Linked DNA regions of Danio rerio. The protein of the gene in region 2 purifies or fractionates together with the protein of the main gene of each other region. This does not show direct contact. Links are inferred from orthologs where the notes say so. Each region holds a gene or a part of one and is shown on either strand. Other genes may lie near its edges.

Region 1 (4,518 bases), on a different chromosome or scaffold from region 2:
TGTTTTGTTTTCCCCATTGTTTTGTTATGTTACTTTTAAGTCAATTTATAGTGTTCTTATTTTAGAAACATTCAAAGAAATGGAAAAGGAAAAATCTCTATACGGTTTGTAGCTGCAGAGCCATTTGAGCAGAGCTGAGCTCCAGCGAGGGGGAGCATGAGCTCTAGCTCTGCCTCCTGTAAGCTGTTTTAATGCGTACACCAACCCAACCCCTAACCCTACCCCCAGTGTCATCACTCGAAGAAGAAGTGCTAAAAAGGTGGAGCTCAAGCTCCCCTTCGCTGGAGCTCAGCTCACCCAAATGGCTCTGCAGCGACCACCACTTGACTATATTCTCTGTTTGATTGGTATACCGTTATTTATTTTATTTTTTTTAATTCAGATTGGTCAATGGTCCATTTTAACGATAGGTGGCGGTAATGTACGTAGAAGCCTGGTCAATGGTCCATTTTAGCGATAGGTGGCGGTAATGTACGTAGAAGCCTGGTATCTACCGTAAAGCAAACTGTTTAAGAAGGAGAAAGTATGCACATGGTCCGGAGGCTCTAAAGCTGCGTCCCAAATCGCATACTTATGCACTATTTTACACCATTTTGTAGTATAAATAGTGTTAGTAGTGTACTTTAATTACCCGGATGATGCACTCATTCAGCCGCTAAAATGAAGTGTGGAATGATGGACACTTCACGCACTCAACGACCGCAGGTTTGCTTACTTAGCGGAAGGGGCGGAGCGATCGGACGCACATGTTGAACAACTTTATTTATTTTGGATGGTGAAAGCAAAATTCTCCTACGAGAGTGATTATAGCGCCTCCCGATGGTGAATGCAGCAATACTCACGGCAGGTATTACTTGATAATTCAGTCGTTTATTTCACTGATTTGGCAACAGTCAAACGTCATCAGGGAAACGGTTTGAATTTCCGCTTAGTAAAAATACATAAGTGTGCCATTTGGGACGACACTACATACATATACTATCCTGTTGAGTGTGTAAGTGCATATAAGTACATAGTGCATGAGTGCATAGTGTATAGTGTGCCATTTGGGACGCAGCTTAAGAGAAGCTGCGTCCCAAATCGCATACTTATGCACTATTCTACGCCATTTTGTAGTATAAACAGTGTAAGTAGTGCGTTCACACTGAAAACTCTAATAATAATAAGTGCACTTTAATTACCCGGATGATGCACTCATTCAGCGCTAAAATGAAGTGTGTAATGATGGACACTTCACGCACTCAACGACCGCAGGTTTGCTTACGTAGCGGAAGGGGCGGAGCTATCGGACGCACATGTTGAATAACTTTATTTAATTTGGATGGTGAAAGCAAAATTCTTTTACGAGAGTGATTATAGCGCCTCCCGATAGTGATTGCGGCAAACCTCACGGCAGGTATTATTTGATAATTCGGCCGTTTACTTCAATGATTTGGCATCAGGGAAACGGTTTGAATTTCCCGCTTAGTAAAAAAAAAAACATTAGTGTGCCATTTGGGACAACACTACATACATATACTACCCTGTTGAGTGTGTAAGTGCATAAGTACATAGTGCATGAGTGCATAGTGTATAGTGTGCCATTTAGGACGCAGCTAGTGTCTCTGATCCATAACCCACAGTAGGTGGCGGTAATGCTCTGATAAGAATGCGAACCGCCAATAAACACCAGGAAAAAGAAGAAGAAGAAGTCCGGAGGCTCTAATGGCATCACAGAGGGAAGAGAACAGCACACAAATGCAAAATGAGGTATGGCTAAATAGACCTGCACCTACCTTAATCACACAGCGTTATTTCTTATATGTGAACTTCTAAAGTGTCGAATGGCGTTGTGTATGACTTTATGTGTATACAATATGATCCGATCAATGCGCAATGAGAAACGACAACGATGAAGTAGTGTTATAAAAGCGACTTGTGTAAATATCTTAATCTTAATATTGTTTTATTCGGAACAATGCATACCGATGTCCCTGTAGCCATAAGCGAGTTTGTTTATATGCATGTTCCTAACCAGAAGATGCTTGATGAGCCCGACATATAAACGCACAACAACTAAAGGAGTGCTTTTTTTTATAAGATTTAAATTGAAAAATGTCTCTATTCAAGCATGCATGCGAATTTTTGCCCCCAAATACCCTGCAGTTAAGTTTAATAGTTAACACTGCCACTCTTTAAGAATGATTAAAAACGTTTTTGTTTGACCTTTTAAATGCTTTAAGTTTGTGCACTAACGTTAGTCCCCTTTTCTCATCTTCTGCTGTTGTGATGCGTTGTTCTTTGCAAATAGACATTAAATTATTACGTTGTTTACACTTGCTTACTGACTTTTTAAACTGAGCAGTGTAACTTGTCGTTCCTATATGTATGTTTGTTTGACTGTGTTGTTAAGTTAGCAATGATTTGGCATGTTCAGTCCATGTGAGATGGCCAGTCACGGTTACATAAAAATATATATTACATTTTCAAGGAGGACAACATGACTTGAAAACGCTATGCCATTGCTTTGTGGATTCAAAATAAAAGCATTTTAAAGCAAAGAAAACGCACAGGATGTATTTTCTGCAGATTCTTTGAACTTGATTTAGCATCATAAAAATAAGATTTTAATAAGTGTAATAGTCTCATAGGAGGAGCTTGATGGATAGGCACTGACTCCATATTCAAAAGTCTGTGTTTTAATCAGTCTACACTGAAACTCCGCCATAGCGTTTTCTAACCAAAATTAGTTCAACATTTTCAAATTGATCTTTTACAGGTCAAAGATGCTGTATTTGGGGTTACTCTATAGTAGAACTTAATTGTTTTAACCGGTTTTAACTGAAAACACTATAATGCAAATACAGCCTAGTATAAGCATGATATCTTTACAGAAAACCTAATCTGTTTAGAAAGTCAGCCATCTAATTGTTCTTTATGTAATCATTGTTTATGCATTACACAGACACCTTAACCCCTGATTCAGAATCAATTTACTAAACATTAGTTTTGCAAATTAAATGTAACCACTGTTTTTTATGGTTCAGATGGAGAGAGTCTGTGGAGAGTCCCGTCTTCATTGGTGCACAAATGACTTTTTGCTCTGACATTGTAGCTTTTCACTGGCTATTTTAAAGAGCATATTGTAGGTTAGACACCCCAGTGAGACAATGTGTGTAAGAGTGAAGTAAGAATTAGATTTTCTTTAAAATAAACGTTAAAGTTTATTATTAAGCCATTTGGAGTCGTTTTAAGTCACGGAAATTTACTTCTGCATTTGAATCGCCAGACCAGAAGTGACGTCTGATCAGGGAGTTTGCGCATATAAACACTATGAAGACAAAAAAAAAAAAAAAAACACACTATGAAGACAACTGATCGTGGTGCGCGTTTGGTTGCCGCAATAAGACATTCTGAGAGACTCACACAAATGACAGACCACAGCCATACAATTATAAGCCTGCGGACAGACCAGCAGACAGAACAGCAGTCTGAGAAGTGTAATTTAACTCTATTGTAAGGGAGAACAGAGCAGGTTTATGGTGAGGCCAGTGTTGGCTTACAGAGAGATATGTAAGATAACAAAATCTTATCTGGCAACAGCAAAGCTAGTATTGATCATCTATAAGTATTAATACTTACCAGTAACAGAAACTAATGAGCATTTAACACAGTTATGCCACATTGACACTATTTTTAATAGTAGACAAGTGAATACAAAACACAAATAACACAGAACGTCTAGAATAATACAGAAACATGTCAACAAGGTACTGGAAAATCTTTTTTATTTTACAAATAGTTTTCAGAGCTTCTGTATTAATATAAAAACAACATCAAATATTAAAACAATTAAAATAAGTTTTTAAATATGTCTTTTTGTCATTTTTTCATTGGGTATAAGGTTATCTGTATCGGATCCCATTTAGGCTACAATCCATAAAAAGACAAGTATAGTTGTTACAGTATAAAATATTTACAAAGATTTGATCAACAGATCTAATCTGCATTATGATTAAATAAACTTCAACCCTAATTCAAGTTCAAATTCTAAATGCAACCCAAGGTCGATTTTTATTTATATAGCACAAAATCATAAGCAGTGTTAATACCCAGCATTTTTACTCTTTATATATGTATAAGTATCTGTGTGAGTGTGTGTATACTGAAAGGAAAATATATCATCTGACCCATTTAAAAGTATTTAAAATTATTTTTCAGTAAGTTGGCCAACGCTTATGTGGGTACCACACCATCATGTCTTTAATGTGTTAAATTGTGAATGCTGTGTAAAAAGATGCCGACAGCTTCATCCTTGTAAACCCGCTGGAAGGATCTAGAAAGGAGAGCAAGTGTAGTGCAAAGTTCTGCATTCTCGTCGAGCCTGTGATGAACTCCAGTAGTCCACCGTCAGACACGCAGTGAGGGCTGATGCATATAATCTGGGGAAATAATGCAAAAGTTTAAATCATGTTTATTAATAATATATATTTTAAAATTCACCATATGATTTTTAATATAACACAATACAGAAAACCC
Region 2 (4,567 bases):
CTAAAATGAATATTAACTATATTTCACACAGAAGCCAGGGAATTTGCAAGCAAGTTTAAAAAAAAACTGAGGAGAAAGAAAATGAAGTCAACAATTTACAGTACAACCCTTTAAGTTTAGCTTGTTACTGTAATGCTTAAGAGTTCAACACCCTGCACTCGCACCACTACTCACTGAGCATGTACAATCATTGGAGTGACTCCAGTCAGTGCAGAATTATGATGCATGTCAACATAGATTAGAGACCAAGTTACATTAAAAAAATAATAATAAAAAAAACTACTAGTTTTTAAAGATGCTACTGGAAAGGAATAGGTCTTTAAGGATGACATATAGTCATGTTGTGTTTTTGAGAAATACCATGTTCTACACTTTAACATCCACTTATAAATTATAAAAGTTAGGAAATTACTAATCAATCAATAGCATTTTATACATCAAATGAGTAACAACCAAACTTCTATAATGGATATGTCAATGGAGGTTAAATTTTGTCACTTAACATTCAGCAGCAGAATACTTTTTGATAGCATATTTTTCACATGAAAAATCCCTGCTAAAAGAGTAATTCAAATGACTTCACAAGATGAAATTAATCAAAACTTCACTATATGATAAACCTTTGGATCCATGTTTTTTTTTTGTATAAATCATATACATTTATACATGTTCAGATGATCTTAGTAGCATTGTTTAACAGGTGCAACGTCATACCACGGTGATATGCACATAACACTTGATATTATCTTTTTCCTTCTAAATATTATTTTTTTTTGCATAAAAACAATATCTTATAAAGACAATGTATCTATCAAGGAGGAAAACAAGGTAAATATCAGAGAAGGGGTCTAATGTGGTAAAACATGTACATAAACTAAACTTTGATATCACTTTAAAGGGAGAGTTTACCCAGGAATGACAATTCTGTTACCATTTTCTAACCTTTTACTTGTTACAAAACAGTTAAAGTTTTTTTTTTGTTGTTCTTTTGAACATAAAATAAGTTATATTGGAGAAGAATGGTGGACACATGTATCAATTGACTACTAAGTCAATGGTTACAAACTTTCAACATTCTTCAATAGAGGTAAAGTTGGTTTTATATTCGGACATTCAGACATTTACCTTGATAATGTGATTTCAAAAAAGTATTATTTGCCAATTTTTAAGAGGGAAATCATATTAATAGCCAATGACTATTAAAGTACAACATTGCTCACAGATAACTAAATGGTGCTAATGTTGTTTTCATGTTCTTGCATGCTAATTCAGACCAATATATTAAAAGTAGCACAGTTAAACAATATAGGGGCCGTTAAATGAATGAATGTGCGAATTTAAATCTAACTTTACCTCAATCATTCTCCAGAATATCTTTTGCGGTTAATAGATAGATGAATTTAATAGATAATTTCAATGATTACAGTAACATTATTGTCATTTTGTTGTAAACTATCCCTTTAACAAACGGGGCATATAAAAACAAATAAACAAACATATCACCTACAATGAAATGGTAAGTTTTGCGACTACATTTCTAAATGGTCATGTTTTGTTTTTGACAAAAACCATGGTGAAATGTAGCGTAATGTCATGCTCATTCCAGTCAGGCTAAGATGCTAACATGATCATGTCGTGTTTTTAACACATTCTGTTTCATGTTAATTTCTTGACTTACAATAATATAAACATTAATAGTAATTACCAGAGTAATAACAACAGGAAATAATCTTTTGTTAACGTTAACCATGACAACATCACACACAACTCACACGTTGTTGTATCAGAGATGGTTTTGAAAGCTAACGTACAGCAGTACTGAGCTCTTCAGTCCCATCAAGAATAAGCGAATGTCATGATACATACCAGAAAGCAGAGCTGAGGCCAGTTGTGAATAAAGTACCTATAGGTGTATATGGAGTAGGGCTCAGATAAGTCTTTCGTTATGAGTCGGATGATATCGGGCATCTGGAGCTCGGACTCGTATCTCACGTATCGGATAGACTCGTCGTGCTCCTCCAGCGCCAGTCTCGACATCTCCGCAACCGGAGCGCTGTCAGCCGCTGCCTGCTCAACTCCAGCGGCCTGCGGGCCCGGGCCTGATTCTGATCCAGCCCCGTCCAGCACCAGCGTCGCCGCATCCGCCGCACCAGTCCTACTACTTACATCGTTCTCTGGTCGGCAAGAGCTGCTCTCCGTGATCGCCATGCCGTCCGTGCAGTTTAGTCCGTTGTTCGGCGGCGGTTGACTCTGGGATATTAGATCACTACATCTTTTATTTCGCGTGCAGTTGTTGTTTTCCGTGTGATCGCCCTCCGGTTCGCCGTGGTGATCGGAAGCGGCGTTTTGATTGTCTGACGGCCGGTGTTGCTGGACGTGATTCTGGAGGTGAGTGTGGTTGCACTGGACCCCGTTCAGCTGGGCTGTGTGAAACTGGGCGGCTGTTGCGTTGGGATGCACGTTGTTCTGGTTGGATTTGGCTATCGTTTTATGCTCGCTGGCGTGCTGGTGTCCCGGGCCGGGGCCGATGATGTCCCGTCCGTCATCTTTACCCAGTAAGGTGCACCCGTCCACGGGCAGCGGTGTGATCTCGCTCGGGGATGAAGGCAGTGCGTTAGGCCCAGGCGGCACTTCAGCCATTCCACTGCATACAGTTGCTATGTTGACAGAAAAACGGGGTGGGAATCAGCCTCTCTCAGCCAACGGCGACGAAGACAGGCGTCCGTCCGGCTGCTGGTACCTGATAAATTTAGGAATCACTCAAAGTTCGTGGACTATCTCGTGTCTGTTCCTGCCATTACTCAATTCACTCCACACTGGCCTATTATCTGCCGTAAAGCAGGGTGGATGATTTACGACACTATGTCGGCGCTTCGGCGTAAAGGTTGCCGGGAAATTGAGTTGTTGATGTATCACACTGTACTTCCTGGATGACTTTGGGGTTTAGTGGGTTACGTTAGGGTTTCACGGCGCACGATGCATTTTTTATTTAGTATATTAATACGTCGTTCTCATGAATAAATTCTTAACAACAATTTTCATTAAATGTCACGTGAAATATCAAATATCACTGAATGTATCATAATTCATGTATCACGTATATTCGATTGAGATGAACATGGATACGTATTGCACCTGCTGCTTAACTGAAAGTTTAAATGGGATGTTAGATTTACATTTGTTAAAGCAAAGACAAAATGCATGCTGTAAATATTCTGTTAGTTTTATTAAAGTTGCAAATTGTATTTTTATCCATCCGGATACATGATTTTTTTAAGAGGAATAGATATTTTAGACAAGGAGATGGATATAAGTCATACAGTTTGCAACTGTTTGTTAGTTAAACGTTTTTGTATGTTTGTTTTGTTCATTGAGTATTGGTTTAATTTATTAGAAGGTCATATGTAGGCTAATTATGCTTAATTAAGCTGTCTTAGTAAATGTTGTTATATGACAGCCTTTCTGTTGTTAATCATAATAAAGTTTTCTTTAAAATTTTCTGGCCAATGCTATTTTGACGTCACAAGATCTGTCCTTGTAACTGGTTTAGAAACAACAGCTGACTGCACAAATATATGTAGGCTACATTTTAATTACATCCAAACAAGTAATACTTTTTAAAGAAACGTGGAATTTAATTAACTTAAAAACCATTTAAACCATGATTTCAAACCATGACCTTCGCAAAGTCACTTGGCTACAGACAGTTCTCATTTGCTTTTATCGTTTTAGATGACAATGCTAAATACGTTTTCCAAGAAGAGCCACTAGATGGACCCAGACATCCAATTATGTGAGACGTTTCCCCGGGGTCCCACCGTGGGTGTTCATGGATGTACCATGAAGTACATCCATGTGGAGTATCAAAACCAAATGCAGGCCCGTAGCCAAAGGCTTCGGGTTGTTCGAAAGACCCACCTCTCACTGGCAACTGTCCAAAATTTGTCTCATAGATGTCCTCATTTGTACTATTTTGACTGCTATGCCATCATAAATAATAGTGAAAATAACCCATCGAAAATGGCTTTAAAACCAAGTGGAATCCTTGGCTGTTGTTTCAGTGTGACTTCAGCTAATCAGTTTTGATTAATACAAAGTGCTAACTATCATTCCAAAATGCAGCTGTGCAAGAGAACACGATTTGACGTAAGTGAAGTCATCTTTCTCTGCTGTATTATTTTTAAATAGCATTTAGCAAGTAACTTTTGTTTTAAATCTGGGACCTACTGAAAAAAAAAAAAAAAACTGACCAGTAAAAAGGTGTGAGGCACCAAAAGCGTCCCATATTAAAATAATTTAAATATTAATTTGGCTAGGCCTAATGTTGTTATCCATGAATATTCAATTGTACTTTTTTTTTTCAAGAGAGGCTAGAAAAATTGCGAAGCTCTATATTATTATTAGGCTACTATTATTATTATGTTTTAATTTTTATTATTCAGATGGCTAAATTCTGAATGGGGACAGTTAAATGGGCTAGTTTATGATTTGCCTGTTAAATGATTATATGCTAAAGTTTTTATTTAAAACTTTAACAGATTGCTTTTATAATAATGTAATATGATAA

Evidence for each region.
Region 1: the proteins of naa30 (region 2) and naa38 purify together in Homo sapiens (co-immunoprecipitation; 3 studies listed by BioGRID and IntAct, with this or other methods). This does not show direct contact. The link is inferred for Danio rerio from reciprocal best matches to the Homo sapiens genes NAA30 and NAA38.

The regions. Positions count from the first base shown.
Region 1 is NC_133180.1:59,192,399-59,196,916, forward strand, and holds the start of naa38 (N-alpha-acetyltransferase 38, NatC auxiliary subunit), read left to right. Parts: upstream 1-1,668; 5' UTR 1,669-1,704; coding exon 1,705-1,749; intron 1,750-4,361; exon of another isoform or gene 4,362-4,421; intron 4,422-4,518.
Region 2 is NC_133192.1:49,448,519-49,453,085, reverse strand, and holds the start of naa30 (N-alpha-acetyltransferase 30), read right to left. Parts: upstream 2,834-4,567; 5' UTR 2,641-2,833; coding exon 1,867-2,640; exon of another isoform or gene 1,675-1,866; intron 1-1,674. UniProt on the Homo sapiens protein: Catalytic subunit of the N-terminal acetyltransferase C (NatC) complex. Catalyzes acetylation of the N-terminal methionine residues of peptides beginning with Met-Leu-Ala and Met-Leu-Gly.